Linked DNA regions of Solanum lycopersicum. The protein of the gene in region 3 binds, or shares a complex with, the protein of the main gene of each other region. Links are inferred from orthologs where the notes say so. Each region holds a gene or a part of one and is shown on either strand. Other genes may lie near its edges.

Region 1 (8,093 bases), on a different chromosome or scaffold from region 3:
GCAGGGGAATACGACCTTATCTGCAATTGGCTCGGTAAAAATTCATTTCATCCCTCACCTACGCGATAATTTTAGTTAGTTTTACGTATGGTCATTCAACTTTTAGTTTATTATATGGACAGGGAATTCAAGATGGGTGCATGCAATGAAATGGTCAGGGCAAAATGCCTTTGGAAAAGCCCCATTAGTTTCATTTACAGTAGATGGTGTAGAGAAAGGAGTTGAAAAGAACCACGGGCCTTTAACTTTCCTCAAGGTCCATGATGCAGGCCATATGGTACCAATGGATCAGCCCAACGCAGCACTAGAAATGCTCCAGAGGTGGATGCAGAATAAATTGACTAAAGAAGATCATCTTGCTCCTATATGAAACAAGTTATAAATAGATTGATTACAAAAAATAAAATAAAAATACTAATGTAGTTTCATGTCTCAAGAAAATTAATTATAGTAATCATGTAAATTCACAGTTTCATGTTACTTTACAAATCTATCAATGAAATGATTTTTCTTCGAGGGAAATAACGTTCTGCAAAACCTACTTCCAACATGTTTTTTTTTTCCTGTATCAGCAAATTGAGGGTATATGATTCACAATTTAGAAACATGATTGAAAAAGATTGATTCAAAAAGAGATAAGCTTTACATATTTATTTGCATACTAGTTTCTGAGAACTATGTAATTTTTTTTAGATATGTTATAGTGACTAAAATTTCATGAAAATATATATGTAAATTGTAAATAAATAATAAAATGTAACAATTACAAAATATGAATAAAGACTTACGGCAATAAAATATTCATAGAAAACTAAATAACAAGTCTAATAGAGAAGGAAAAAAAGACAAAAGAAACAGATATAAGAAAAAATTCATTATAGACATTATTCTTATAAGACCGATTTACATATAGATGAAAAAACAAGTACAAAATTAATACATAACTCTCTGAGATCTTATTGACCCCTTTCATATCCTATCAAAATTCAAAAGTTTTCTTCATCTAGTTTAGCTATTAAATAAAAATAATAGCCTAATAATCTTGGTAGGGAGTTCATGAGATAAAGAAGTTGATTTTAGATACATAGAATAGAAGAATATCAAAAGAAAACTTAAAGTTTTAGTTTAAATATTTGAAGGTTCTGAATATGAAAAGATGAGAGTTATGGATTTAAGAGCATAAAAGAAAATCATAATAAATAAATGAAGAATGTGAAAAAGGAAATTATAAGTTAGCAAACCATGGAGAAAGAACAACCAAAGTTCTTATCATGTAATTAAGCATCAATGAATTTAAATTTGTGAAGCTAGAATCATTCATTAATGATAATCAAAAGGACAATATCAATATGTGTCTCCATTTTATATATTTGTACCCTTTAAATTATTAAATTTCGTTATTTATCATAAATGATAATACTTTATCCATATAAATTATATTATTTATGAGAAGAGTTAAGGAAAAAACTATGAGAAAAGGAAAAATATAGCAATTTCAGTAGAGACTATTTATTTAAAAAATAATTATAATTATTATATACATATAGATTATAGATGATAAATATTAATAAATTATATTTAATTAGGAATTAATCTTAAAAAGTTTAAAAGTTATTAATATTTTAATTAAGCTTATACAATCAAATATTTAAATATTTTATAACAATTTAATTTATAAAAAGAATTATACTGAAAATAATATAATAATATAATAAATAAATAATAATAATAATATTATTATTTTCCTTTATTTTTATGAAGGATGGCTTTTTCGTGCTTTAGACTTTACTAACATTTTCATAGTCATGTTTAATGGGTTCTTTTCTGGTTCAGTGTAATCACTTCTAACTTTTTATTTGTAACAATTAAATTAGGCCTAAGTCATCTGCAGCCCCTTAAAGTTGTCCACATAATTCACTTAGACACCTGAACTAGGACTTATACCTATTGAACACCTAAATTATCAAGAAATGTGCCTATTAAACACAAAACGCTGATGTGACAAAATAAGTGTATTTCACTGCTGCTGAGCGCGTGAATACTTTTTTTTAATTTTTTTTAAAAATATTAATACCTACTTTGTTGACGCTTGGCATGCATTGACTAAATATATATAAAAAAATAATTTAATTAAACATAAATCTTTTAAATCATTAAAAAAAAAAAACCCCACACTCATCTTCCTTCAACCCACCATTTAAACTACCATCCATTCAATTCCCCCAAAATCCCTTATTTTTCCATCCAAAAACAACATGAAAAAATCACTTCTCTTAGCAGCCTCTGTTTCTGCTGCCCACCGCCACCGTCACTTCTGTATCCGAAGTTCGAAGTTCGAATTTCTCTTCACAAGGACGATAATTTGAAGAAAAATGAAGATTGTTCAAAATCGGTGAAAGCATCAACCCACCATTTTAAAAACTTCAAATTTCTCTGTCTTTTGTTATGATTCATTTTTTTTTTCATTTTATGTAAATAAAGTACCTGTTGAATTTTCAAGAAGAAGAAAAAATGGACCATTTGAGAAATAGCATATAACGAAGAAAATGAAAGAGGACAACATTTGGTGGATGAATTCGGAATGAGATGGGGTTAGGCATTTTTTTTTGTTATGAAAAGAAATGGTGATTGTGGAACAACAGAGAAGAAGAAGAGAAGAAGATGAAGAAAAAAGGGTAGTAAGTTAGATGGGGTGGGGGTTAGGGTGGGGAGAAAGATTTTTTTTTTTATCAATTTAATTTTTTATATATTATTAAAGGAAGGAAAATATTCTTTATCTTTTAAAATTAAAATTATGGGCCCATATGCCACGTGTCGTAGTTCTATTCGTAATTTTTGTCAAAATAAGGAGTGTGCATTACACGCACAATATTTGTAAAGATAATTATTATTTTATGTTTGATAGGTAAATATTTATTAATATTAAAATGTCTAATTGATAAGAGTCTCAGTTGAGGTGTCTAAATGAATTATGCGGACAACTTTAAGGGCTATCGATGATTGGGCCATTAAATTAAGCCTCTTGAACAAGAATAGTAGGGGACACGTGGAAGCCATTCAGGAACGATAGCACAAAAATTCCATTCACTTGAGCTGTGACTTGAGTTCATCAAACATTCATTCTGCAATAGGGTGCGGTCCCCACAATATACTCTGCAAAATGCAATCGCAATCGCTTCTGTTATGGCGGGTATACTCTACAGTATATACAGACGCACAGGCACAAAACACACACACTTTCACCTTTCTCACTTTGCATATGATCTCCCTCTCTCTCTCCAACTATATATACAAAACCTTCTAGCTTCAAGTACTCTGCAAAATCAGTGCTGAAATTTCCTTCTTCACGACGGCAATATGTTCTACTCTCATCAGCTTCTTGCTCGCAAAGCTCCGCTCGGCCAAATATGGTGAAAATTGTCGATTACTACTTGTCATTTCAATTTTTTCCTTTCGAAATTCGTTATGTTCATATGCATACGCTACATTTTTGGAGTTTCTGATTTTTTACTTGCATATGTTGTATATCCTGAGCTAGATTGTCGTTCTTCTTTGGTCGCTGGTTAATGATATTCAGTAGCTTCTTCAACCTATTTCTCGTAATCTGAAGTTATGAGTTATATGTTAAGTTGTCACTGTTAAAATTGGATCTGTTTCTGTTCAGAAAATGCTTGAATTCAAAATTGTTTTATGAAGGTATTGATCCAGTTTACTACGGCTTTTGTTTTGATTTTCTATTCTAAATTTGTTTAATACATATAGATAAGTTGCATGTTTTGTGTTTCTGCGTTTTTTAACTTTCATATATCGCAATCCCTGTAGTGGATCCTCTTTTCGTCATTTGCTTTCTGTGTCTAATGTTCTGTATTCGTTGAAGTTACTTCATAGGATTTTGTGTATATGTTAAGTTCTCATATTTCAATTTGGCTACGAAGAATGCTTAAATTGAAATTGTTTATGATCTTTCTCTTTGCTGTGAAGGATGGCGGCCACTCTGCACTCAAAACTCAATAGGAAAAAGCTTAGTAAACTCAATATTATTAACATCTGGTGAGGCGTTTTCTTCTACTACTACGTTGAAATGCCTTAATTCCTTGTTGATTTTGAGTATTCGTCTTCTGCAATTTCTTTTGTCAAGTGAACAAATCTTAAATCCATCAGTCCCGATGGCTCTGAGGCTTTCTGGAATTCTCATGGGTATGCTTCGAAAACCACTGACTGTCCGCAATTGCTGCTTTTGATTTAGATATCTAATCGACAGTTCTGTTTCAGGTGGAGTAGTCATTGTTTACGAACACAAAGTGAAACTCCTATACGGTATGAATTGCCATGATGACTTCATCATTTCAATTTGAATTTCACGTTAATTCTTTGAATTCTACTCCTACTTTACCCTTCCTTATTTCTTCATTTTTTTTTCTTTATGTTTTCTTTAATGCAGAGGATGTGACTCGTCTCATGGTAGTAACATTTGTCTTCGATCCTAATCAAATTAATCTCTTTCTTTGCTCTGTTTTCATTAAATTCCGCATTTATGATTGGGTACTTTCAGGTGCAAATCAATGAAGCTTGGAAAGTCAAAGCAGCTACCGATCCTACGTTACTTCCCAAGGGTAAATCGCAAGCCAAGTGAGTAACTCATCTCCAATTCGACGTCACAGTATTTTGCCGAGAAGCAGAGATTGTAAGGCCGACTTTTAACAACTTCTAATACTTTCAGTTACCTCAATAGTGCTTCAGTAAATTAACAACTAAAGTATGACTGCCACCAATTAGTTGAAATGATTAACTCAATTTATTATGATTTCTTTCACTCAATGTTTGGGTCAGTTTCATCAATGAGTTATTTAAGGCCTGCTTATGCTGTGAGTCCTTTATACCTAAGGTCTTTGTACTTAAAAATACCTAGTTTAGCGATGAATTGGTTGTAAACATTAAATTCTGATTCCTGTGATTGTTTTTCCTAATGTTGATGAATTTTCATTCCTCATTTCAATTCCTGTAGGTATGCAGCTATTACTCTGCCAGAGAATCGGGAGGAAGAACTCCCAGAGATTGAACAGACATTACGGAATCCAGACACAGTCACAATGATGGATTTCGAACAAACCTCCTATTTCACGATGGTACATTATGGAAAGCTCTGTCACCTCCTCAATCCACGAAATAACTTCAAAAGCAGAAACAAAAATTGTTAGGAAAATTAGGAATTTGTTCGAACTGATCTAATTAAAACTATTGAGCTTGCTTTAGATTGTTAAATAAGTCATATTTCATTATTCAGCAAGTCTGCAAGCTCAACAATAGAAAGTTAACAATGATAAAGTTGTTTGATTTCCCTTCGCCTTTTGGTTACTCTATATGTTTTGTAGCTTGTTCTATGTTATTTCCACTCTTGGGTTTTCTCAGTGTTCATGACCTTGTTGAGTAGGCAATCTTATCTGATACCACTTGGATAAGAGCAGGAAATCTTAGTGAAAATCAGATCACTACATGAGAGTGCAGCTAAACTTGCGGATGTTCAATGTGCAGAGACTAGATAATGCTGATCTCTATGATAAACCCAATGCACAGGAGGAACCTGCTAAGGACTTGCATCAAGGTACACCTAGATCCCACAATCAGCATAGATTATGCTACTTTCACCATCACAATAGAATATATAACTATATCCTAGTCAATGCTACTTTGTTTTCCAGTTTTGTCTTGTTGTGCCCATCTCTAAAACAATCCTGAAACCCTTGTTGCAGTTGATCCAGATAATATCACCCTCGCTGAACGCTTTGAATCCCATCATACAGATATGTTCAATCATTTTGAGAGGTATCACGATGAACAGTTTGTAGGCTCTGTATTTCTAAGTTTGTACGATCAGTTCGCATAAAAACTTCACGTGAACCAAACTATCCACCATTAAATCACAGGAGGCTAATTAGCCCCATTTTTAATTAACTGCAAAGCTTTCCTTCTATTATCCCCCTATTAATTTTTAAGCATGAATTGTTCTGCAGGTTTGATATTGAAGGGGATGAAGAAACACAAATGAATTATACCCAGCCAGAGGATGCTCAAATCCCAAGTACTCCTGTGCAATCTCCACCTCGAGAACAAGCCCATCAACGTAAGAACGTGTTACTATCTTCTACTTTAGATAAATGAAGTTTTTTGAGATGTAAATAGTAGATGGAGTTACGATATTTCATTATTTCACTTGGTTTTCTGATAGAGACATAATGGCAATAAACCCTTCCTCTCAAATAGGAACATGAATGCAAGTCGTACTTACCTACTATGAGATCAGTTAAAATACTTTGTAGCTACCTGGCTGCTTACCATTAAACTTCCGGTTTACATATGAAGTTCCTTCAAGCACAGAACTCTTTTGGATTGAGTTGAGCTTGTAAAAGTCTTTAGATTTCCTTAGGTAATTAATTATTTCTGAAAATTGGTTGAATGGAGCGAAACATTATTGCAGCTGATGAGATCCCTGACAGACATCCAGAGGACCAAGTGAAGCAACAATCTGATGAAGTTAAAGAAGCTTTTGAGGTAGAAACTCCACAAGCAACCAAGCTAGAAAATAATGTAAAGAAAAACTGTCAGCACTAATGTTACGTCTTGACATGATATTGTAGCAGCGGCAGGATCAACAAAGGCCAAAGCCAGCTCGACGAAGAACAAGAAAGGCCACAAGTCTTGCAATTGATCATGAGCAAACTATTATTTCTGGTGACATATATCAATCCTGGCTTCAGAGTTCTTCAGATATTGCATCAAGAAAAAGGAAAAAGAGAAAGGTACTTCCATACCTCCCAATCTAGATCTTCCCCATTTCAATTTTTCCATTGTGTGCACCGTATAACCTTTGATATCAATGGCTAGTCTTTGTGTATCCCAAGAATAGCATGTGCATCTCTCTCTGGAAGGTAACCTTAACTAAACTAACATGCAGCATCATTTATTAGTAACCTTAAGTTTCTATTCTGTGCAGACTTTGAGTGTCTTACCTTCTATGAAGATAGCCAGAATGATGGAAATGCCTCCTATTGCACTACTAGAAGGATTGTTCACAAATGGAAATAAGGAAGTTCACTATCCAGCACCACTCCTAAAATTATGGATGAGGAATACCCAACCTCCGCATGATTCACCTTCCGGTCTGGTTTTTCATCCATGATATTAGACTCTTAGTTGCCAAAACTATAAACAGGTGGTAATTACATTTGACTTGCAGGAAAAACCTCTCCACCCTTTCCTCCTGAACCATCCTATACATCTCCAGGTGAAAGGATGGGTAATTTGGAACCGCCTTTCGAATATTTCCAAGGCGGTGTAGGCTCCCCAGCAGTAGGAATCTCTATAGAAAAACAAAGGGCAAATCTCAACAATAACAAGATTCCACCTGAAATTCTCATGGAGGACCTCAGAACCAATCTTACAAATATGGGACTGCATCCAACAGAGACTAATGGAGTGAAAGAGACTGATCACATGGCCACACCTGGCTCTGGTATATCGATTTTTTTATGAATTTCCCAATCTCCATGATTTGTTCGGCAATCTGATATGGTGGTATAACTAACATTTTTGTGAATCTATAGGTGATGAGCCTAGATCCATTCCAAGCTCAGGATCTGGTCATGGTTTACTATCACAGAATTCTGTAACCGATTCAAGTCGGTTAGTACTACTAGTAGATATATGTTGAGGGATTTGTCTAAAGATGAACCACTTGAATCATACAGACAATGACAGAAGGAAATAATGAATATCATGGATTTCAGCACCATAGGGAACTTTAAAACTTTGCTTCTTTTTAAAATTATGAAGGTCTCACCATATAGCAGCATCTGGTTACATTGATCAAAATTGTTAACTCTTCAGGTCCAACAAGAAAAGACCCCATTCTTCATTGAAGCACAGTGGCAATGGTCTTCAACCAGTAGCAGAAGAGAACCCATGGCACGACCCCACTCTAAATTTCAAGTTGACTAGATTATCTGAACTATCTGAAAATGGTTTTACACAAGACAACGGTTCGTGAATAGTCAGTAACCTTCCCATTTTAGTTCTGGTCATTTTCTTTAATGTGG
Region 2 (7,807 bases), on a different chromosome or scaffold from region 3:
TGTCTCTCTCTTGTACAAAAACAAAGATAGGTAAAGAGAGAAAGAAGATGTTTTATTCACAGTTACTTCTTTCAAAGAAGGGGCCTTTAGGCACCATTTGGATTGCTGCTCATTGTCATAAACGTCTCAAGAAAGACCAAGTCCAGCAGACAAACATCGTTTCTTCTGTCGGTGCGTTTTCCGTTTTCCTGTTTTTTTGTTTACCCCTTTCTTCATCTTTGATGGAGACTTATTACAAGAACAAAAAGTAGTCTTTTTAATTAAGATGGTGTTTTTTTATCTTTCTTCTTCTCCTGTAAACGCTTTTCTCCTAACCTCTTTTCTATTTGTATTTATTTTCTTCATACATTAAGACAGAGTGAGAGGTTGTTTCTTTACCCTTTAGAGAACCCTGATTTCTAATTTAACCACAGTGTTATTTATTGGAATTTAGTGTTCTGTTGACTTACTAGTAAAAAGAGACGTGCTGCTGACATGAGTTTGGCGGATTTCTTTACATAGCTCTCGCATGCACAGTTCATATAGTTTATTTTTGTCCCAAATTGCAGCTACTAGTTACCTTTTGTCTCCATTGTGTTAGATGTCATCCCTACATCAACTATAGCCTTCTATTTTTCACATATAGTTGGATGGCTGAACAGTTGTGCTCAAATTGAGTGCTAAAACCATACATTTTTAAACTAGATTTTTCGTAAACCACTGCTTGTCAATCACATCGGAAAGTCGTTGGGTCATTAGAGACCTCTCTCGGCAAATAATTTTACCACAATGCCCCAATTAAGTACTACCACTTATAGGAATCTTCTTTCCTAGTAGAATGCCCCCCATGAGAAGAAAGAATATTGTGGTGCTCAGCTTCTCGTTGAACCTCGTGGGTAAACTAATGAATGGAAGAATGTGATTTGATCACAGAATAGAATCGGGGTTTTGGTCATGAAGGTGAAATAGGTTCATGTGTGACTGACATTTTTTTTTTTTTGGAAATTTCACTTAGTTTGCAACTTCTAGTGTTAGCTGTAACAAATGCTATAGTTGTAACATGGAATTCACAAGACTCAGTGTAAAATATTAATTACTTGGAAATTAGCATGTCTTCCGAGCCACGGAAAATGGTTTCTGGCTTTATGTTGGATTGTGAACCTTTGCTGCAAACTTGGGTGATTATAGGTGGTGTTAAATGCTGTCTCTGTGAATTCCCTGGATGATCTAGGTAACTGTTTTTGGCGGGGTTATCGGAAACCTCTCTGCCTCCGTAAGGTAGGGGTAAGGATGCATATGCACCATCCTTTGCAGACGCCACTTGTGGAATTACATCGGGCATGTTGTTGTTGTTTGCAATCTTGATTACGTTCACATGTTTATGAATTGCTGTGTATATACGTAATGAATGTGATTATTGTCTTGGGATCTTTTTTATTTCAGATTCTTGACACTGTTTGATTCTGTTTTTTTAATTGCAGCACGATGCACATAAAAGTAGCATTAAGAATTTTAATCATTTCTTGAGTGATTTAGATTTGCTTTACTGGTTTTTCCTTTGCTCAGAGAAAATTCTGCATGATGAAGCTCCTGTGGTCACATACAGAATTTTAGGTCACCTGCTCCTGGGTGTGGTTAGAATATATTCGAAAAAAGTGGAGTATCTTTTCAAAGACTGTAATAATGTTCTTGTTAACCTTGCTGATTTTTCAACTCGCAATAGACCAACTAGTAAACCATCAGTTGTAAGGATCGCGGGTATGCATGCTCCTGTCCACTCTATCACCCGACCAAAGAAATTTGAACTGGATACTTTTGATCTGGAAGTCTTGGAAGATCAAGACGCAAACAGGTAAAATAAATACTTTCCATGAATGACGTGGTTTTCCATGTTAATTTGTATGTTTTCCTTTCTCTTTCTCCTTGTGTTTTTTCTGATTGTCGGTTTGGGGTTTAATTATTTCAATCTTGGTTTGCAACAAACTGTTTTGAAGTAGTCATTTCGCATCCCGTGAAGAAATCACGCTTTCCGGTACAGTACATTTCTGTTGTCTTTTAATTCATGGTTACTTTTTTCGGCTTTATGTCACTTACTTTTTTTAAAAGAGAGTTTCTGCTTTTTGTTTCAGATGCTCAGGAAAATTTAGTTTTTGGCTCATCTTGCAAGGTAGTCATTTTATGAAGTATAATCATTTCTTTGGTTTGTTTTGTTAACAGCATGTCTCGGCCTTTGAAACTTTTCCAACAAAAGAAGGCAGCATAAATCACTTTCTGCTTTGTGTTCACTTAATACCACTATCACTGCTTAGCAAGATATACTACTGTTTTCCCTGAATATCTCATAGTTTATGTTAAACTCTTTGCTATATGTTGTTAGAACCTTAGGATTGGTGTAGCACATCGAATCAGTTGATTGATTTTAAATTATTATCTGCAAAGTGGTTAGTGGAATTTGTACTTGTCAAGATACATCATGGATTCACGAATTCACGTAACTGCTTTTCTTTGAACAAGTACTGGACAGTGTTAGTGGTGCTGTGTTTAATTTGAAGAAGTTATTTGATGGATCAAACTGGTTCAAGTTTCTGATGATACTTGAATAAGAATTAGCTTAGAGCCGTAAGCAGTCACCTTCATTTGTTTTTTTCCTGATGATGGCATGGGTTGGTTGGAATTTCGCATAACTACTACTTTCATTTTGTGTGGGTGTTGGGGTTGGGGTGTTCCCGTCTCTATCTCTCAATCTGGTACTGCTGCATGAAAAACTTCAAGCTTTGTTTTCTGTGGATATTCTTGCATACATGACATATAAGCTGCTTTTTTCAGTATGAGGAAGGTGTCTCTCATTCAGAGTTGAAGTCCACAAATCACACTCCAGTTAGAGAGTATGCACTGATCTCGCACCTCTTTAATTAGATCTAGTGCTAGTGCTAAGAATTTAACATTTCATGTTATAGCATATATTCACCTCACCTGATGGACAAAGATTTGGACTTCAACCCATCAGTTGGGTCAAGCCACGTGGAAGCTATGTGGAACCTTAATGAGACTAGATTCTCCTTGGAAGAGCGCTTTGAACCAATGACCTTTGGGGACATTGAAATTCAGATGATCTTTGATAGGAAAGCTGATCACCAGACTGGTGATGAGCAAATGAAAGAGTCGAGTGCTGGGAACTTAGTAAACGAGGAGCATCTTTATGAAAAGAGGTCATCTTTGGAAAAGCACGCAGAACCGATGATTATCACAGAAGCTACATTGGAAATCAACACCGATCAACAATCTGAGAAAATTCATCAGCATACTCGTGAGCTCTTAAAACACCCTGATGTAGGAGTGAATGTAGATGATGAACAACCAGCAGTCCTTGGTGAATCATCTCTTGTGGAAAACTGTGGTTTTGAGCAAAAGAAAAATGTTGAAGCATCTTCCTCGAGGAAAGGGAAGGATCGGACTAAAGTTGATCGATCAGTGTCCCTCTGTATTGATGTATCCCCAGAGACCAAGATCGCAGGTGATTCCTTTATCTGGTTTACCTTGTTCTTTCACATATCTTTTAGTTGAACAGCTGAATCCGACCGGAAATGGAATAAGCTGCACCTGCCACCCCTCTTTTTCCCCTTCACCTAGAAAAAATAAGGAATATGTGTGCCCCTTCTCACCCTTTTTGCTTGCTTGTTGGACACAATCTAATTTGTCCCTTCAGATGCCCAAGCAAATCATGTTCTAAAATGCTTGTTGTTTTAACCAACATCACTTTCTTCTAATTCAGGATCTACATCACCGGATTTTATATCTATTCGCACCCCAGCTAAGAAGGAGCGTAGGCGGATTTCAAGGAAGCGGAAGTGCATATTTGATGAATCTATTGTGATCCCAAATGAGTACGATCCTTTTCTTTATTCAACCTATTGCACTAAGATATCCGTATGCAGGATCTTCTTGTTGTAACCTTCTTTAGTTAGTGCAGTTAAGTTCATCGCATAGTTAGAAGAGATTGATGTGACACAACCCTAACATGCAGGGTATTCAAGCACTGGATTGGCGATGCAAATGACTTAGTTTGCAAGAGAAGGAAATCCCCTCATTCCAGTTATTTTGCATGGAAAGTACATAAAATTTCCTCACTTCCTCAGAGTTTTGAGGAGCCTCTTATTCCTTGTGAGTAAAGGTTCAAACACTGCCACTGCCATTTCCGTGTTTTAGGTAATTTAACTAACCAACTGTGGCAATGCAGGTAGTCTTTCGATTGATATTGCATCAGCAATTAGCAAAATTAGATCAGCACAGCATGGGCCTGCAGAAACAGTAGAAATTCCTCTGCGTGAGGACATGCCAGACTCTCCTTATAAACTCAGATCTGGGGAACAAATACCTATTGCTTCTGCTACATCTATGCATGAGTATTTACCTGAATCTCCTGGTACCCTCAGATGTGGAGAACAAATACCTGATGCTCCTGCGGCATCTCTGCATGTGGGTGTACCTGAATCTCCTAATACTCTCAGATATGATGGAGAACAAACACCTATTGCTCCTACAACACCTGTCACTGGCTCAAGTTCGCTGAGATTTCATGATACGCAAGGAACTTCTAAATCACACATAGAACCAGCAAGTTCAGCTGAAATCACAGAGAAAGAAGCACTTTCCATGGAGGATGTAGAATTTGAAATGAATTTAATGGACGAGGTATGACACGATTGACTAGTCTGATTGCTTACATAAGTAAAGGAAATTGCTTTCAGCTACTGAAGTGTATTGTGATGATTATTAACTTTTTTTGGAAATAAAAAAGTTCTATTGTCTGTATCTGTTATTGCAATGCTAATAAGTGCTAACTGCAACAAATGCGCTCTTTCCTCAGGAGATCAATTCATTTGAAGGGGATACCTCAGGAAAATGTAAGGAAGTACTGTTTTAGTGGTGCAATATTATTTCAATTGAGTTGCCATTCTCATAAGTTGTTGTCTTGGTTGCAGGCAAATATTCCCTGAGAACAGGGTATGATGAATAAGGGATCTCAGTTTCAATTCTTGCATCCCCTTGTCTGTGGCATCTTTTGGTTATGACTCTCAGAAATTTGTGAAAATTCATTTCTTCTGTTTTTGGCGGTGATCCAATTTTTGGCTTTTTGCATGCAGAAAGGTCGCAAAATTCCTGTTTGAAAACTTCCTTGCTCGGAAGGGGAAGGAGGAGGTAGAAGTTGTCAACTTGTCCTTGCTTATGAAGGGGAAAACAAAGGGAGACAGTGCAAGGGTGTTCTACGAGATACTGGTATTGTTTTTAGGTTCCTTTCATCTTTCTGGTAATTTTAGGTCTGCCAAATTGAACTTGTGGATGAACGGAATTATTTGATACATATTTTGAGTAGCGCTTTCAGCAGGAGTTTTTGTCCCTTGTTTCCCTTCTGTCAAGCATCCAGGATGTGCTCTAGATGGTGGTGCTTAAAAAGGAATTTCTTTGGTTCTATTGTTGTTAAATGCCCCCGTGTTTCTTGGCCTATAAACATTGGTTATAATGGACGGACACATGAATTTATTTTACGCATTTGTCTCTGGTTTTACGTAAATATAATCCAACGTAAGATATATACATTGTGAATTATTTACAATGCTTATTTTCCACGCAGGTTCTGAAATCAGGAGGCTGTATAGATGTGCGGCAGGATGATGCCTACAGTGACATTCTTTTGCAAAAACTCCCAAGACTAAAGCAGACCTTTGAAGCTGAGTCCTGAATCTATATATATATGTTCACAAAGAGAGCTGTGTTGGTAAATAGTAGCCAGAGGAAACAATCACATGACATATATGCTTTTATATATGTTTGGTAGTATATATGAGTGGAAGAGCGCTTTTCTTTGCTAGCTATTGCTCTTCCTCCTTAACATGAAGGCAAGTTAGGTTATTGTTAACTATTATGTCTTCTATCAGGAATTAGTTGAATTTATTGTCAATGTTTTGGTTTATAACTACTACTGGTGCCCAATTTAACCACTTGTGAAAAGCTATTACTCCAATTTTCTTTAACATCAAATACACGAAAAGGCTTTTTATGAGAAAATTGTATACCCAATATATATCTGGAAGTGGTTATAGAAAAATATTGCTCTACAATGTTGTCAATTCATAGGCGTTTTAATCAACAATGAGCAATAATAGTTGTGACTTATGTCGTATAAATATCATGTTACATTTGTATTTGTGAGTTTTAAAAAGCTTTTATCGCGAAAAAAAAAAAAAAAAAAGACATGGTAGGAGTAGGACACAAAGAGGTCTTTCGTGTCTTTAAGTACTCATAGAATAAAAATTAGTTTATGCATAAAAATTTTGATGTATTATTTGATTGTCAAATTCGAAATAATTTATTCCTCCAATTTTATATGTAATGGAAGAAAAAAAATTAAAATAATTTTTAGGTATTTTTAAAATGTTTAATAATTTCTTTTTTAAAAAGAAGTTTTTGTAATCTCTTTATATAAATTTAAATTTAATAAAAATAGATGAAAACCCAATCGCTCTTTATTTTTAATTTATATAAGAGAAATAAAACTGGACATAAAAGAAGTCCCAATTATTTCTTTTTATTTATTACCCAGTCCAGTTGAAGCCTCGTCTCTTAGACGTGAATCTGCTGAAACTCATAAGTGTGTTGATTGGGCGAGAGAGATGAATCTGAACATGAATTCAATGGAATCAGTGGTTGCTCAAATCCAAGGGCTATCGAGCAATTCATCAGACATAACTCAGCTTCACAACTTTCTCAAACAATCGGAAGAGCTACTCCATTCCGACTTCTCTCGCTTGCTTTCTTCTCTCGCTGAACTCGATCCTTCTATTCACTCCCTAGGTTTTCTCTATATTCTGTAAGTTCCTTTTCATCCTCATCTCTTATTCTTATAACCTAAACCTAGGGTTTCTATTCTGAAGATTATTATTTGTTTAAATTAGCCATTGTTAGGTTATATATATAGATATATTGATTAAAACACCCTGGGCTGTGGCTTAGTCATCGTGGGCTATGGACGATGAGGTTTCATGTTAAAATCCCAATGCAGGTGTTTTTTTCCCATCTGCCCTAACTTTGTTGGACACCTGGTATTGGTACGCGTGGAATTAGCTTGGTGGACACCACGGTGATTATGAAAAAAGAAAAGCTAATTGACAAAGAGGATTGTTATGGTCAACACCAATACATGTAGGATTGAGGCATAGTTGATTGATTGATTACATAATCTATAAAAATAATGCAGAATTGAACCATCCACTGAATTAAAGACCAGTATTTGTGTAACAAGTGCGCGTTGTCTTTTGTACTCTGTCTAGTGTGTATTAATCATATAATTGTGTTTGTTAACTAACAGGGAGGCATGCATCTCATTCCCAGTTGCAAAGGAGCATGTTAGTGAACTGCTTGTTTCTGTCGCTAGATTTATCAATTCATGTTCTACAGAGCAAATCCAGTTGGCGCCCAATAAGTGTAATTTTCTCTGGTTTCTGGAATAGCTTTTGTGAATATTCTTGTTTCTGGTCTAACTTATATTGAGGCACGTCTTCAATTTGTGGTTGCAGTCATTTCTGTTTGTAAAAAGTTCAAGGATCATGTTTTCGGACTGGAAACTCCGATTCGTGGTGTGGCTCCAATGCTGACTGCTATTCGTAAACTGCAATCCTCCCCTGAGCAATTAACAACATTGCATGCCGATTTTCTTCTTCTTTGTCTATTAGCAAAGTGCTACAAAACTGGCTTCTCTGTGCTGGAGGATGACATATATGAGATTGATCAGCCACGGGAGTTTTTTCTCTATTGTTACTACGGGTTAGTT
Region 3 (7,503 bases):
GGATTGTGTTGGGGCAGGTCAAATATCTATAATAGGTGTTTTGATTGTCAATCCATCAGACTGAAATTCTATACTACTGCATAGTTTAATGATATGAATATCTGACACCTTTGCTGATTCCAGTGCGGATCCTCAAGCATCTGTTGAACCAATGACACCAATCAAACAAGAAGAACACCATGAAGAGATGGTTGCAAATTCCGAGAGCATGGTAACTAGTCGATCTGTCCTTTATTCCTTACAAAGTAGCTGTTTATTGACTATTTATTGTTGTGTGCCAGACAACTTGTTTTATATACCTTAAACATTCTTATGCTAGAATGATTCAAGGTCTTTTCTTTCATGCAGTTGGATGGAGTTGATGGAGATGCTGATTTCATGGATCATGCTCCATGTACTCCTGGGTTAGTGGAAGAACCAAATTTGTCTAACATTCAGGAAATATCAGCATGTGAGGACCATCTAGGTCTGGAAGATCGTCATTTGACGGAATATGCCGTAAAAGCAAATTCAGTGAATCTCTCTTGTGAAAATAACGTGAAAAACGGAAGTGTGCTTCTAGAAAATCAGGCATTAACTGATGTCTCGAATGCTGATACTGTTCACTCTGGGGCTGCTGAGGAGAATGGTTACCATTTAGGTAACAAGTGTGACAAACAACTCTTGCCAGATGGTCAGCTGCCTCCAAGTGGAGTTGCAGTGGATCTTGTGTCACTTGGTGATCCCACTGTAGCATCTGGACCATCCTCTGCTGCTGTTCATCAGGCTAATGCAAAATCATCTGTACTAGAATGTGCGGATGAGATTGTTGCTGCATCTGATGGTCAAACAAACGAGAGGAGCTTCCAGTGTATGCTTTCTGACATGGACAAGGTTGACGTATCTACCCCTGGTGACTTCCCCGACAAGCCTCCACTTCCAAATGGAATTAGTTCCACAAAAGTTAACTATGATGTTTCTGCTTTAAGTAGCATCTGCCAGCCAGTTCGTGAAGATATTTCACCGAGTAATCCGAGATCACCTAAGGCAGTCTCAAATAACATTGCAATTCCAGAAAACATGGATGCTGGTGAATCCCAAGATATAACTTGCTTTGAAACGCCAAAGACTGCTGATTGTCTGGAACAAAGTATTTTTGATGAAGACACTGGTGCCCAGGTTCATATTCTGAGTCGATGTAATGCTTCTGCTCAACTTGATGCATCGAAGTCTAGTTGTGAGCATGCTGTTAATAACGAGCTACCATCTAATTTTTCTGGTTTCCACCAGCCAGAAACTTCTAAGGAGGGCGCATTACATGCTTCAGGTATTTGTGCTAGAGTTTTAGGTTTGTTGGGATAAATCTGTGTGCTATGTTGTAATATTGTTGTGAATGTACTCTTAACACTTCAAGTTGAAACATGCCAGCAGGTTATTCAGAACAAATCTCAAAAGAAAGTCTCGTCAAAGAACCTGTTCCACTTGAAGACATTCGGAAAGATACTGACAAATCAACTGATCGAGCAGATAATGTTGTTCCAGAAGATCACCACATGGAATTTATGAGCAGTTCAGCTGCCTCTGCCTTGCCAGCTCCTGAAAAAATTCTATCAATGTCAAGAGGGCTTGTTGATTTACCTCGGAGTATTTTCCCAGAGGCTACGCCGGATTACTTGGCAGGGTTCAATGAGGTGGAGGCTGGTGACAAATTCATTTCAGGAAAGAAGCGCAGTTACACTGAGAGCACACTAACTGAGCAGAGTCTCAACTCAGCTGAATCTTCAAGGATGGTCCGTTCCAAAAAGTCTGGAGGATTTATTCCCGATGATGATGATTTGCTCTCTTCTATACTTGGTACTTTTTGAGTTCTCCTTTTGCACTTCATAGAAGGGAAGGGTGACCCTTTTTACCTTGATGAAAAATTCTTTCTTCTTTATTATATGACATATATCCTCTTTTCTGACTAACGTGAGACATTTCCACTTTCCTAATTATTCGCCACAATTCTGCCTAGTATAATGTGATAATATATGTCTGTAAAAGTAACCTTGTAAACCTTTGAACTCAGTTAAGTATTACATAACAGGGGTGAGGGGAAATTAACATTTTTCTTGAGTTTAGACCTTATATATGTAACATCTTCATTCTTATTTCAGTTGGAAGAAGATCTTCAGCGCTGAAGCTTAAGGCTACTCCTCGACCTTCTGAGATTACATCTAGCAAGCGTGCCCGATCTGCTGTTCGGATGAGTGCCAGTAAAAGAAAGGTTCTTATGGATGATATCATGGTCTTGCACGGAGAGTATGTTCTGTCGTAATTTTTTCTTTCTGTTCATGTAAATGCGTCTTTTTACTAGTTTAGATCACCAAGCCGGATGATTTATATTTCATTTCTTGTTGTCAAAATATAGCAGATTAAACCACATGAAAGGCATAAAAAATGTATCTTGGGCTTTAACAATCTATTGCAGAGTATAAAATCATAAATGCATCCATATCAGCAGTCTGACTGAGAATTGAGACTAGCATTTTCTTGGCACTGTGTCTTTTGTCTATTTTAAATACAATGTGCACTATATTCTTGAATTAGCTGCTTTTGCTCTACTGAATTACTTATTGTGTGCCAGAGTTTAGGTGCTGGTCTTACTCTGATCCAATAGTCAAAGCCTGTCTCTTTATAGGCTTTGTTTTGATGTTGCAAATTTTTGCTGGTTGCCTTGTCTTGTTGCTTTTTCTTTTTTCCAGTCAAATTTGAACACAACCCTTGTTATTTTGGATACTTTATTCCTTAATGCTTCAGCATTCTGACTACTGTTATCATGATTATTAGTCTGGCCACTCTGGTTCTCACTTATACTTGATCAAAGGTGTTGGAAAATATGATATTGTTGACTGATAAACAACCTTTAGACTTCGTAATGAACGTGAACAGATCCTCTAAAAAATAAGTTGGTTCTTGGATGGATCACAGATACCTCTCAACTCATTTTTCTATCATTTCTGTTTGTGCAACCAAAGTGGTGGTTTAGCCGTCGATGAAACTGGGAAAAAGACCATGGGATACCAGGTTTCGAATTCCAGCAGAGGCCAAAAGCTAATTGATCTCTTCCCATCTATGCCTATGTATTGGTGGGCAGAGTTATCCTGTGCCTGTAATACAGGGGGGATGTAGGTGCACTGAGGAATAGTTCGAAATAAAAGAGAGAAAGAGAGAGAACTGACTGTATTTTGTTTGTTTCCGCTTCTTGTTGACATGCAATAGTGAACTGATGCGGGTCTGAATTATTGCCGATTCAGCTAGGTTCCCTTTCCCAAATAGTTAGTTTTTGTCTTGTCATTCTGCCTTATTTCCCAGTGAACTGTTTTTTCCTGATAATCTGAAAAATCGTTTTATGTGTTTAAATAGCTTTCTCAACTCATTCTTTGAATAACTGACAAAACATATTTGAATTTGTGATAGTATGATAAGACAACAGTTGATACATGCTGAGGACATACGTCGCGTAAGGAAGAAAGCTCCTTGCACACATGCTGAAATCTCAGCAATCCAGAAACAGTTGTTGGAAGATGAAATTTTCAGAGCAGCAGTATTAACTGGTGGGTTCAGGATGCAAGTCTACATTTTTGCTATTTGATTGTCTTCTTCTTGTTGAATCATGCAATTGTTTTTGTTGTGGATATTATAAAAGGTGATCACATTTTTGTCTATGTTTAATCCATAATAAGTGCTAATATGAGCTAGCTACACTTCAAGTGTATTGGATATTTGTTTTATTGATTAGCTTAATGTCTCTCTACTTGAATGTATGCCTTGGAATTACTAAGCTGATGTGTTTGGGAAATATATTTACTCAGACTCTATGCCAAGTACTGTCATATAGTTTGTTCTGATGACACCCTAAGAATACAAGCACATGCTTTTAAGTTTTTAAAAATTCTTTTGCTAATTGTTTCATGACAGGAGAAGGCACATTTACTGCCTGCCTCTTAACTTTGTTCTTAGTGCTGCATAGCACCAATGACCTTTGCTATCTTCTCATATTGACTCAATTTGATACTGATTCAGGTTTGTCGGTGGAATTGGCTTCTTTACATAAGCAAACATTTGACTTGAGTACAGTCAAAGTCTCTTCTTCTAGTGATGTTAGCTGTTCTCATGCTGAGAAGGCGGTCGAACCCCAGATAACTGCTGAGTATGCTGAAAATTCCATCTCAAATTTGGAGGAACAACGTCAACAGCCAAGTGTTGAGTGTGCTGAAAAACCCATCTCGAATTTGGAGGAACAACGTCAACAGCTAACTGCTGAGTATGCTGAAAACCCCATCACAAATTTGGAGGAACAACAAGCGATGGTGTGCAATGAATCACATGTTGAAAGAGAAAGTGGAAAGGAAGGAAGCGATGAACGGTTTGTAGCTAGAGATGATAGCATGTTAGGAGCTGTTGAGGCTACTATTCCAACTGAGAACAAGGAAGTTGGTGAGCATGACCAATGTTTAAATAGTGACGCCTCTCAATTGCGGCCAGATACTGTCACTGATGTATCAGCGGCCAATGGTTTTCATCTTGAACCTTCAGATAATACAGCAGAAATAGGATCTCAGGTAACTTACCTTTCAGGTGCTGATGCAGCAGATACTGCCACTGCCGCCAAAGAATCATTGGCGTGTCCTAAAAGTGGTGGATTAGGTGGCGATGGTGATATCGCGGCAGGTCTACCTCTGACAGATCCATTTAATGAGTCTGGAAGGGAAGCTGATTTTATTTTACCAGAAGTATCATATGGATCTCCCAATCGTGCACCGGCTGCTCAAGCTGATAAGTCTCTGGAAAATTTGAATGATGAAAACCTTGTAGTTAGTAGTGACTGGCCAGAAAGCAACTACTTTATTTCTGAAGCTGAAACTGAAACTGAGAATATGGTAGAAGATGCAGTTCTATTGGAGGCTGCCCAAGACAGTGCTACAGTTGAAATTGCAACTAATGTAGAAGATATAGTGGCAGATGATGTCAACCAGAGCTTTGCTGATAACATTATGGGCACTGAACAACCCAAAACAGATGCTTCATATGATGAAACGAATATGCATTTGCTGGATGATCCCATAGGAGCCGGAGACTATCCCTGTAAACAAGAAAATTTCTCTTACAATATGATGGGCACAGATCTTACGAATGGCAATCTGGGTGACCTAAATGTAAGTGTGCTAGCTTAGTTTCGAGTGCTAGTCTTCTGGAGTTTCAGTACTCTCTCTCTCTCTCTCTCTTTCATGTATTATACATGACAATCTTATTTTTCTTTTTGTGACACGTTGGATAGAAATTGCAGACAATCAATAATTATGTACCTCTCTTTTATCAAAGTTGGAAGTACCTATATCTTCTCCTGGTCTTGACTAGGTTGCTTCCTTGTTGCTTCTTGACCTGTTGCTCTTTGTTCAGTATGTGTGGTTCTTTGGAACTCAGCGGAAGGGGAAGAAAGAAAAGAAAAAGATTACCTCTATATTGTTACCAATAGTGTCAGGTCTCAACGTAGTAAGACCTGATTGAATAATCTAAAAATCTAAAAAAATCTAGCAAGCAGCAATATGTACGAGCACAAATCTTGACTTGATGTAGATGAACATGTATACTGGAGGTTACCTTCTGTCTTGCACTGTTCTTCCCCCCAAACTACTAGATTCTTTATCAGTTGATTGCTTTTGTTAAAATGGGCTTGAAATAACGGTCCTTTGCTTTGATAAGAGATTTACTTTGTTATGTGCTCTGCTGATATGAGCTTTCCTCATTTTTTTTTGGCAGGATCTACATTATTCAGCCGCTGGAAATGATACAGGTTTATTTTCCCTCATCTGCAACCAAAACTTGAAAACTTTATTGCCTTAAAAGAAAGAAAAAACAAATAATTTCAAAGTCGAATTGGACGAGAATATTTTCAAATTTGCTGTAACATTAGGCATGTTTGATTAAGATGGATTGTCTGTCCTTGCTTGTTTCAGAACCTTGCATCTGGATTTTTCTTTGTTAATTAAATTTGATAATGGGTTGAAAAATCTGCATTCAGTTTGATGTTATAGTTTGAAAATTGGTTTCACAAGGTTTCTTAGTCATGGACAAATGCTGTAAATTATGACCTTTCTCCTTGTACCTGTCTGATTTGATGTGTGAAGAAATCAGACACACAAGTAGAAGAGTTTGAGGAAATGTGTGAAGAGTAGTGTCTTGGCCCGGAATGCTTTTATAAGAGCAATTTACAGTGTATTGTATTTGTGGGATATGAGAGATTTAACTCCATATTTCGAGACATATTTCATCTAAGATTACTATTACCTCTATTACAGAATGGTCAAACCATTTCAGCGTGGCAACATTGGTACTGTAGTTTCTTTGGAAGTTTTTGTAAAATTTCTCCTAGTCTTGTAGCTTTGGTGTAACATTATTTTTGGTATCTAGGGTTTCTGAACTTCGATGACGATGATGATGAAGAAGCTGAAGCAGCTGATGATTATGTTCCAGCTGCTGATGTTACCCGTATCACTGAGAACATTGGATGGTCCTCTCGTACAAGGTGTGCTGCTTGTCCTTCATTTCCTATTATTCTACTGTTATAAGTCTAGGCTTGCGTAAGCTGAGTGTCATTTTTAGACAAGTTTGCCCTCCTTGCATGTCTACTTTTTTCCTGTGGTTCAGTGCTTTTACAGGGTGGTTTATACATTGGTTTCTGTCATTTAATCTAACGAGGGTAAAAATACAAAATTGTCAGAATAACAGACTAGGCTCAAATTTCACAATAGAATTATGTTTTGGGAAGAGGACCTCTTTAGATTCCTGCTTCTCGCTATGTACTTTGACCAAATTCTTTGATTGTTCATTTATATTTAAATGGTGCATCTCGTCTTTTTTTCCCGACGACTATAGACATTATCTTCCTTGGCCTTCCTGTGATTCAGCTACCCCTCTTCTTTAGTGATTGCAGAGAGGTTCAGATAATCTTTTCTGCTGACCGACAGCTTTTGCATATTAAGAGAGTCCATTGTTAATGCGTGGTTGCATGAACAGTGGTTGAAGTTGAACCAGCATAATGAGAAAGATAGCAAAAGGGCAGGCCCAGAGTCTGATTCAGCCAACTAAACAGAATGGCAAGTTTCATTACCATTTGGGAAATTCCATCAGTTCAAAAACCTAGTCCTAATCTTTGGATTGACAAGTAGCAGAAGGAAAAAGTCCGACTTGGGCTGAATATAGGAACTGAAGCAGTAGTTTCTATCTGGTTAACCATGTGTTCTTTAACCCGTGGAAATGGTGCCTAAAAATTAAACGAAGAGTCAGTAGGGGTCTCCTCTAGTCGAGCTAATTTTCTTTTCTTCCTCCCCAGGAGCTACTACCTTGCTCCTTTGCAACCTCAAGGTTGGAGTTGGAGGGTGCTTACCACTTGAGCAACTATCTCGTCTAGTTGAGCTAATTCTTTTCTCAATTCTTACTTACGAGGTATAATGTCCTTCAGATAGTCCAAAATGGCCTATT
Region 4 (8,165 bases), on a different chromosome or scaffold from region 3:
AACAAAAACAGAAATGCAATGCTGCAGACATTAGTAGATAAAATTGACCAACATTATCCAAATCAATTCAAACCCTCAAACTAAAAGGAAAAAAAGAAGAAGAGGTTCTTAGCGTACCAATAGGAGTGTCGTCATCTTGTTCTAGAAAACTTAGATCCTGCAATGGCATTTAGTGATTTATCAGATGCAAAGAAAGGAAGAACTAGTTGAATAGTCATATAGGATGACAAGTTGACCATAGCAGTGCACTAGGTAATAAAGCATTGAATGAGAATAACCACAAGAATGTTAAAATATAAGCCATTTACAAATCTCAGTCTAAAATTTATTAAAGATGTGTTGAAAGGGTTAATGAGACTACTACGGATGATACAAAGCTGCTGAAAAAGTTATCTAGATGAATATCAAAGTAGATTCACAATTTAATAGAAAGTGACCATGATCGAACGTACCCCAGCAGAATTATCAAACTCAGGAATATCAGATAAGACAGTATCCTCCACACCTAGTCCTTCTCCAAACCATGTTGAAGGGGTCTCCATATGAGAACCAACATGCCCAGTAGATGCTGCTGGGTCGGGCGTGGGCTGCACCCCACTATCTATGGTTCTTCCTATCTGACTAGATTCTGTCCCTAAAGTTGTAGTAGCAGGACTGAAGTCATCTCTTCTGCTTGTGGAAGGCATGGACATCAGTGGAGAAGAAATGAGCCTACTTGGGGAAGGCATAGACATCTGTGGAGAGGAAATAGGCCTATTTGGTGAAGGCAAAATCTCAGACAGCAAACTAGTGCTTGCAAGGTCTTGGTTATCACGTAATCTTTCAATTTCCACCGGAAGATCATTCCCAGATGGAGGGGCTTCCTGTGGGGAAGCCATCTGGACTTTTGCGGAAATGAAGTCTTTTTTGTAGATATTGCAAAGATCATCGCATAATCCTACAGATTAACAGAAGTTGAATTTTTAGGTGAAGAACATTAGACTCATTAGATAATGGCTGTGAGACACCCACCAGTAATTAAAGGCTCAAAGAAAATTCCATCTTTTCTTAGTCTCTGGTTTTGTTTCCAGATGTCCAAAGAAAAACAAGGAACCTTCTTCTTTTCGCGTGATTTTATACCGATGCCCTTTAGTCTCCTTTTCATCTCACTGTAGAGTTGAACATGATACATTGTCAAAATACCAATGGTTGAAGAAAATATATAGTTAATGATGATAAAATATTAACATACTTATTTGGCAATACTATGTCCTTATCATAGATGAGTAGCTTTCGCTTTCTTCTTATTTTTGGCACCTCGAGAGGAGGTGTTGAAAGAAGTGCTAAATCAGGTGACTGATGCCCTGAATATCCAAGAAAAGAAGAAGTTTCATGTTAGAATATTAACATGGCAAATATGTAATTTCAGTTTAATAATAAGAACCTGCATGCAAGCACCCACCAAATGATATCTGTGGATCAGCAAATTCATGAGCATCCGCTGAAGTAGTTGATGGTGGTTCTTGTCGTTGTTGAGATGGGATTGAATGTCCTCCGGGGGCCAATATCTCTTTCACAACTGGACTTGCAGTTTCCTTGTCTCTCATGATCTGTTCCTCCAGAACTCTATCTGGTTCCATCACATCATTCCCTCGGTCAGACCACAAGGGAACATTCTCAAAACTGTGATCATGGACAGCGTCACGCATGAGTTCAATATCTGGAAAATCTTGAGGGATGTCATCACCAACAGTTCTTTTGTTTAGTCCTTCCTGATTCTTAGGGGAAGAATGTTGGGGTTGAGCAGCAGTTTCATCTAAATTTGAAGGATCAGAACTGCATCATCAAAGAAATGTCTATTACAAACATGGCAATAAACAGAAACAATCCACATCTATAGTCAATAAGATGCATACTCTATCTCCATAGGCATGGAACCTAATCCAGAAACTTCACCTGATTTTGACAAACTCTTCACTATGTCCTGTAAAAACAAACTCTTTGTCAAACTAGTGTTGCAACTTAAGTGAATAAATCGAAACTTCGCTGCTAATTATGAAGCAAAAGATTTACCCACCTCATCAATGAAAATAGCAACATACTGATCTTCATGCGATACAACTTGATCTATACATGGAAAATTTCAGAAATGAAAGTTCAATTGAAAATGAAACAGAAAAAGATACAAAAAAGAAGAGTTAAAGTAAACATGATACATACCTTCCAAAGTTATCTCTTCGTAACTTTTAACATGAGTATCCTTAATCCTGGAATTCCAAATGCACGTATAACTAACTACAGATTCAAGATGACAACTAAAAAAGTACTACAGATACTTACCTATTCAGGTCAAGATCTTCATCAAAAACGACGGCATCAAGTTCAAATGTTTCTGGTAAAGTGATGGAGCTGTATGGTGCATGAGTGGCATCTTCTGGGAGATTGACATTTGTAGACGAGAAGGCCTTTATAACTCCCATTAGTAGTGTTTTGCAGTCCTCGGAAAAGTATTCAACCTGCTTCGAGTATATCCGAACAACTCCAAGTAGAAGATGGCCAGATGTTCGCAGTGCAATAGGTACTTCAGGAGTCATGATGCGCTCTACAAATAGATTTCAAAAAAAAAAAAAAGGAACAGTATCATCAGCAAAAAAAAAAACATCATATGCATATCAAAGCTACTGCTATGTACTTGTGTAGAGCAACTTATACATCCTTTCTGGCTTATACGCACCTTGATTGTTCCACGGAGTACCCAAGAAAGCATCAAAGACTAACTAATTAAAACAAAGTACATTTGGCATATACCAGAAAAAACACATCATTTGTACCACTGAAAGTTTAAGGTTAAATATGTTCAAGATTTAGTGTCCAGCATAAGATAAATCTGCAACATTCCTAAATAATATGACATAATAAAAAGGTAAAGAAAAATCCCATCTTGCCCCTAAATGATTCAAAAGGGGATCCTCTTTGCCCTCCGTTAGTTTTGGCACAAAAATACCCTTATCGTCAATCAAGTAGCTAAAAAATGTCCTCATAGTTAGCCAAGTAGCTCAAAAATAACCTCCCACTAACTATTGCTTTAGCTCAAATGGAAAAAGGGCTAATTGAGCCCTAAACTATATGAAATGGGACAATTACGTCTTTCTTTCTCTATAGCTCAGTCAATATCAAGCAAAAAATTGTTTTAATGATTGGTATTGTTATTTGCATTATGTTCAAATTCTAAGAACATACTTATGTACTTGACTTGTCCAACCCCTTCCCGTTACACCCTGAAAGCTTCCCTATAAATGCCATCTTATCTTTATTATATTCTATCACTTATCGAGAAATGGAAACGGGCCAATTTTTGAGCTATTCGGTTATTGATAAAGGCATTTTTGTGCCCAACACGAAACAAAGAACACAGTTACATTTCAAATAATTTAGAAGCAAATTGGATCCTTTCCCCAAATAAAGTCATGGGTAGAATCATCTAAACTTCAAATCTTTAATCTCTTTCAAGAGAAAGATTCAGAGTTCACTTTTATCATACAAAAGATTCCAATGGACCTTATTTTATTTGTGTGATGAACAAATTTGTTCTCTCCTTCTTACCTAAGAACTTAAGAGTTGATGTAGTGTCTAAGTTCAAGTTCCAATTTTTTATGCTTAGAGTTAAAGTAGTCCAGTCTCCTTCAATATATTAATTTTTTTCACAGCTAAAAAACAGCCCATCATGTCCTCCTTCCCCCTATTCAATCATTATCATATGTATGGGACATGCATATCTTCAGACAATTTTACCGCTTAAATTTCAAGAATGAAAGTTCCTCATTTTTTGACCTCCTTAAAATGATCAATGAATAACTAACACAGGTGACAATACATTGTACATAAGCACAGACTAGTCCAAGAGTTCAACTATCATGATTAGAACAGAAGAAAATGTCTCCACTAAATTAGAAATCAATTCATCTTTGCAAATGATAAAAACCTCCGTATCAAACCAAATTTCAATACTTCAATCAAAAATGCAATCTTTAATGTAAAAAAATAAATCTTCATCTCACAGAAAGATCCTAATTGATATCAGCAAAACAAGAACTGAATAATAAACTAATTATCAAGCAACAAAAATAACATTAGATACATAAAATTACATTCAATCAACACTCAGCAACAATGACTCGAATTAAAAAAAAAAACATTTCAATCTAACCCTTTAACTAGCATTACTATAACAGAGAGAAAATCTTGAAGTACAAATACTTATATAAAAACTTCCAAGCTGAATTAAAAAGATTCACAAGAGCAAATCTTTATCTCACGAAACCCCCAACTAACAGCAAAACAAGAATCGTATGTCAACCAAGCGAAATTAGCAAAATCATTTTTTTTCTTTTTTCAAATCCCAAGAAAGAAACAAAACAAAAAAAAAAGCAATCCATTGAAATAAAATATAAATCTTGGCAATGGGGCAAATAAAAAGGGACCCTTTTTTTCAAGAAAAAAAAAAGACATTAGAAAACCTACCAACAGTAGATGGAATGTTAGTAGAAGTATAATGAGGCTTCTTCAACTTGTGTTGCAAGTGTGCAGCGCACCATACAGTCCCTAATGGACCCTTCCGAGCCAAGAATGTGTGCGAATAAAACATTTCTCCGTCAACAAATTAACAACCAAGAACGGCGATTGATGGCGATTGGCGGCGATTAATGGTGATTGGCGGCGAACGGCGGCGACCCTTTTCAGTTCAGAGGATTCTCCAATGACCTAATTCTCTTCGGCTCCTCAGTTCTGTGTGTATAGTTAATTGGGGTTTTATGTTCGAAATTTTTGAGGTTCTGAGACAGAAACCGCGGGAGAAAGTGGCGCCAATGCGGCAATAAAATAACTTGACGCTTTGTGTTTCCTTAAAAGGGCCGACTGGTTTTGGTTATTTACGCAGATGCCACTTCTGTTTAATCGCGTTAATTAAAAGGGTAAAATGATATAAATTCACATTTGAATTTGTTTCGAAAAGTAAGTTACACTTTTAAATTATTATATACCTCTGCTACTAAATAATGAACTTTTTTATCTATGAGACGTATAGTACTACTCTCAAAAATGTATCACACTTGGATCACATCAGTGTTATATCGCTGCCATATCAAATGTCATGGCAAAATTTAACTAAAATCCTCCATATAACAATTGTTTCTTCTTTGATGAACACCACCATGAAATCACTATTGTTGCCACCATAAAATATATAAATTTGGTAGTAAAATATATAAATGTGAGGGTAAATTTATGTATTTTCTCTTAATTAAATGACACTGTTTAGATTAGAAAGAATTGTGTGATCAAACAAATATATATTGGTTAATTAGTTATTATGACTTTAGTTCTAGTTAATTATCACTTGTGTCCAATATTCAGTAATAGTTACATGGGGTGGGGTTTCGAGTTTGTATGAAATCAATTTTTTTATAACTTTTATATAATATAATTTGTATATTTGTTTAAAGTTCAAATGTTTGTATTTGTATAAATTTGTTATTTTGAATTTATACAAAAATAGCTCGATTTAAAAAACATACCTCCAAATTATACAATCTTATAGCTACAACTCGTAAATATGTAAATTATAGCTATGAAGCATAATTATTTTTTTTTAACCCCAAGATAACCCGCAATTGTTGCAACCTTTGTCATAGGCTCTAGCCTTCGTGTGAGCACTTTGTGCGCACTATGTAAACCCTCATTGTGTAATAGACTGCAAACCAGACAACATAATTAAGTTTATTATAGTAGTTTTTTGCGAAAGTTCCCCAAATAAAGGTGAATATTAGTGGATTTTTTTACTTCCTACGAAGGAAAAAAAAGGAACGTGGGAATATTAAAGTTATAATACATAATTGTGTGTTCTATCATCTATGTAACAATTTATATGAGATATAATCAATGTGATTTGTAAGATGTCATATATGATTTACGTATTTGTTGATGTATTAGTGGTAAATGACCTGCATGTATCATAATTTTGTATCTGTTATTATGATGTGATCATTACTTTGTATTCGGATATGATTTGAGTAAAAATATATCATCATGATATATTATATATGATACATGTAATAAATGAATTAATAATTGAGACGAATCACATACGTTTTGAATGTCGGGTGTATGTATCACAGATTTGTATAGTGTATCAAATCAGGTCATTATTGTGAATATTGTATATATAAATATAGACCATACATATATACATACATACATACAGACATATACATATATGTATATATATATATATTAAATTTATATATATATATATATATATATATATTAGATTTTTGTGGATGGTTGTATCTTTGATAATTTGAATATACCTAGTAAATGTTACTGCAAGATAATTATGAAATTGTGCCGATATGTGTTAGTTTGTTGTTAGATAAGTGCTGGCTTTGAAAATAAAAAAATTGTATTTCATACGTGTATCATTAAATTATTTTAAATGTTTGCAGATTGTTCCATGTCATATGAGTTTATATATCAAGATTGTTATATGTAATATGTACATATACATTGTATTTTAGTTGGATAACACTGAGGTCCATTTGACCATGCGACATGGTATCAAGACATGGAATCATGAGATGAAATTGAAGTTTTATTTGGATATGCGATATTGGATTTCAGTGTTGTATATTTTCTCACAAACATAAAAATCTTATAAGTTTTAAAACTATTAAAATAGCCTCAATTGTTTATTCAATATTATCAAATAAACAAAAATCATAAAATCGTATAATAAATTATTACAAAGTTATTTGTTCTCCACTTAAGTAATTATTTCATCAATATATTTGAGTAAAAATGAAACACCTTTCACGGGCTCTTCAAAATTTTATTGCTCAACAATCGTGAAATGTGAGTTAAAAAATGACTATATGTTAGTGAGAATAATAAATTTTTAAAAGTAATGATGTGATTATAATTTTTTTTTTTTACATATGAAACAGATGGTTAATAGATATAAATGTGGGGTTGTTTTAACAAAATATAAACTTGTGAATCAATTTTTATATTAAAACAACTCAAATCATGATATGGAATTCTCATATGATTTGATATCACGATTTTTGGAGAATATAGTATCACATCTCATGATATGGAATCATGAGATGAAATCAGCGTAAAATCGCATGTCCGAACGCTGATTTCATCTCACGATATCATATCGTAATATGGTATCACATGGCCAAATGCCTACTTAGCAAATATCAAAGAGTGCAGATACATAACACACAACTTATTTGTTTTTGTCTATATAACCTTGTAAATTTGAATATGATTGATGGTACATTTATCAAATGATATATTTACAAGTATATTTATATTGAACATGATAAAACTAATTGAAGATTCAACATTAGTATTATATATCGACACCTTAAATATGAATATGATCCGTTGCATAAAACAAGGATGACCGTAGAATCAATTACAATGGAGAATCATATGTATCAAGAAAAAAGGGTAAAAAACAAAAAACAATTGACAACGAAAAATATAAAAGTTATCTAATTCAGTGGTTTAATTTTGATTGACTAGAGAGAGATTTTTTTTGAAATTCAAATTGAAATAAAAACTGTAAATAAGTAATTTTGAAAATATTTTAAAATGATAGAAAATAATGAAAACTATGAAAAATAAATGTATGTATATAAATAATTAATCCTATATTAATATCAATTTATTTTGTATCTATTAGCATTATTATTTTTACTATGATCATAGCATCTTATTGATATTTAAAGCCATGTTTAAATTAATATCTTCTTATCAGCGTGTAATGTAATGAGGTTAGAATGCAAATAAATAAATAAATAAATTTATGGCTTCAAGTTTATGTCGAAATGGTGCATTTAATCTTATTGATCACCTCATCGAAAACCTTCAATTAGATTAATGGAAAATTCAAAGAATTTTAAGATTGTCAACAAATTTATTTGACTTTTTTTAAGATTGAAGTTAAGTTTGTTGTGTTATTAATTAGAAAAAACAATTTATTTGAAATAAATAAGTCACATTCAAAATTATATTTTTAACATAATAGCTTAAAATGTGATTTATTTAAGCTAGTTAATTTTGAATTAAATTATGTTCTGCAAATGAATTTTTTTTTTTCAAAAACACACAAGGATAAT

Evidence for each region.
Region 1: sister chromatid cohesion 1 protein 4 (region 3) and sister chromatid cohesion 1 protein 1 share a complex: the UniProt entries of both Arabidopsis thaliana proteins name them as parts of the cohesin complex. The link is inferred for Solanum lycopersicum from reciprocal best matches to the Arabidopsis thaliana genes SYN4 and SYN1.
Region 2: sister chromatid cohesion 1 protein 4 (region 3) and sister chromatid cohesion 1 protein 2 share a complex: the UniProt entries of both Arabidopsis thaliana proteins name them as parts of the cohesin complex. The link is inferred for Solanum lycopersicum from reciprocal best matches to the Arabidopsis thaliana genes SYN4 and SYN2.
Region 4: sister chromatid cohesion 1 protein 4 (region 3) and sister chromatid cohesion 1 protein 3 share a complex: the UniProt entries of both Arabidopsis thaliana proteins name them as parts of the cohesin complex. The link is inferred for Solanum lycopersicum from reciprocal best matches to the Arabidopsis thaliana genes SYN4 and SYN3.

Annotation. Positions count from the first base shown.
Region 1 is NC_090805.1:48,873,807-48,881,899, forward strand, and holds the start of sister chromatid cohesion 1 protein 1, read left to right. Parts: upstream 1-2,925; 5' UTR 2,926-3,357; coding exon 3,358-3,410; intron 3,411-3,981; coding exon 3,982-4,050; intron 4,051-4,138; coding exon 4,139-4,197; intron 4,198-4,272; coding exon 4,273-4,317; intron 4,318-4,441; coding exon 4,442-4,461; intron 4,462-4,552; coding exon 4,553-4,629; intron 4,630-5,005; coding exon 5,006-5,126; intron 5,127-5,532; coding exon 5,533-5,602; intron 5,603-5,750; coding exon 5,751-5,823; intron 5,824-6,011; coding exon 6,012-6,121; intron 6,122-6,475; coding exon 6,476-6,549; intron 6,550-6,635; coding exon 6,636-6,797; intron 6,798-6,991; coding exon 6,992-7,157; intron 7,158-7,234; coding exon 7,235-7,510; intron 7,511-7,601; coding exon 7,602-7,680; intron 7,681-7,884; coding exon 7,885-8,036; exon of another isoform or gene 8,037-8,047; intron 8,048-8,093. Other genes in the region: serine carboxypeptidase-like, read left to right, coding at 1-34, 123-370. UniProt on the Arabidopsis thaliana protein: Involved in chromosome condensation, pairing and segregation during meiosis. Responsible for cohesion between replicated sister chromatids.
Region 2 is NC_090801.1:70,964,554-70,972,360, reverse strand, and holds the end of sister chromatid cohesion 1 protein 2, read left to right. Parts: 5' UTR 1-47; coding exon 48-171; intron 172-654; exon of another isoform or gene 655-939; intron 940-1,545; coding exon 1,546-1,831; intron 1,832-1,973; coding exon 1,974-2,011; intron 2,012-2,108; coding exon 2,109-2,146; intron 2,147-2,805; coding exon 2,806-2,864; intron 2,865-2,936; coding exon 2,937-3,493; intron 3,494-3,751; coding exon 3,752-3,863; intron 3,864-4,003; coding exon 4,004-4,140; intron 4,141-4,216; coding exon 4,217-4,671; intron 4,672-4,846; coding exon 4,847-4,883; intron 4,884-4,961; coding exon 4,962-4,983; exon of another isoform or gene 4,984-5,027; intron 5,028-5,123; coding exon 5,124-5,256; intron 5,257-5,611; coding exon 5,612-5,719; 3' UTR 5,720-5,975; downstream 5,976-7,807. Other genes in the region: CSN3 (COP9 signalosome complex subunit 3), read left to right, coding at 6,651-6,847, 7,346-7,461, 7,554-7,800. UniProt on the Arabidopsis thaliana protein: May be involved in sister chromatid cohesion during mitosis.
Region 3 is NC_090810.1:3,495,706-3,503,208, reverse strand, and holds part of sister chromatid cohesion 1 protein 4, read left to right. Parts: intron 1-123; coding exon 124-211; intron 212-348; coding exon 349-1,306; intron 1,307-1,407; coding exon 1,408-1,833; intron 1,834-2,135; coding exon 2,136-2,280; intron 2,281-3,438; coding exon 3,439-3,575; intron 3,576-4,044; coding exon 4,045-5,177; intron 5,178-5,781; coding exon 5,782-5,815; intron 5,816-6,432; coding exon 6,433-6,547; intron 6,548-7,503. UniProt on the Arabidopsis thaliana protein: Involved in sister chromatid and centromere cohesion during mitosis.
Region 4 is NC_090800.1:77,426,539-77,434,703, forward strand, and holds the start of sister chromatid cohesion 1 protein 3, read right to left. Parts: upstream 4,852-8,165; 5' UTR 4,625-4,851; coding exon 4,501-4,624; intron 2,582-4,500; coding exon 2,320-2,581; intron 2,247-2,319; coding exon 2,200-2,246; intron 2,107-2,199; coding exon 2,057-2,106; intron 1,964-2,056; coding exon 1,896-1,963; intron 1,816-1,895; coding exon 1,442-1,815; intron 1,344-1,441; coding exon 1,232-1,343; intron 1,149-1,231; coding exon 1,012-1,148; intron 938-1,011; coding exon 453-937; intron 158-452; coding exon 118-157; intron 1-117. UniProt on the Arabidopsis thaliana protein: May be involved in sister chromatid cohesion during mitosis.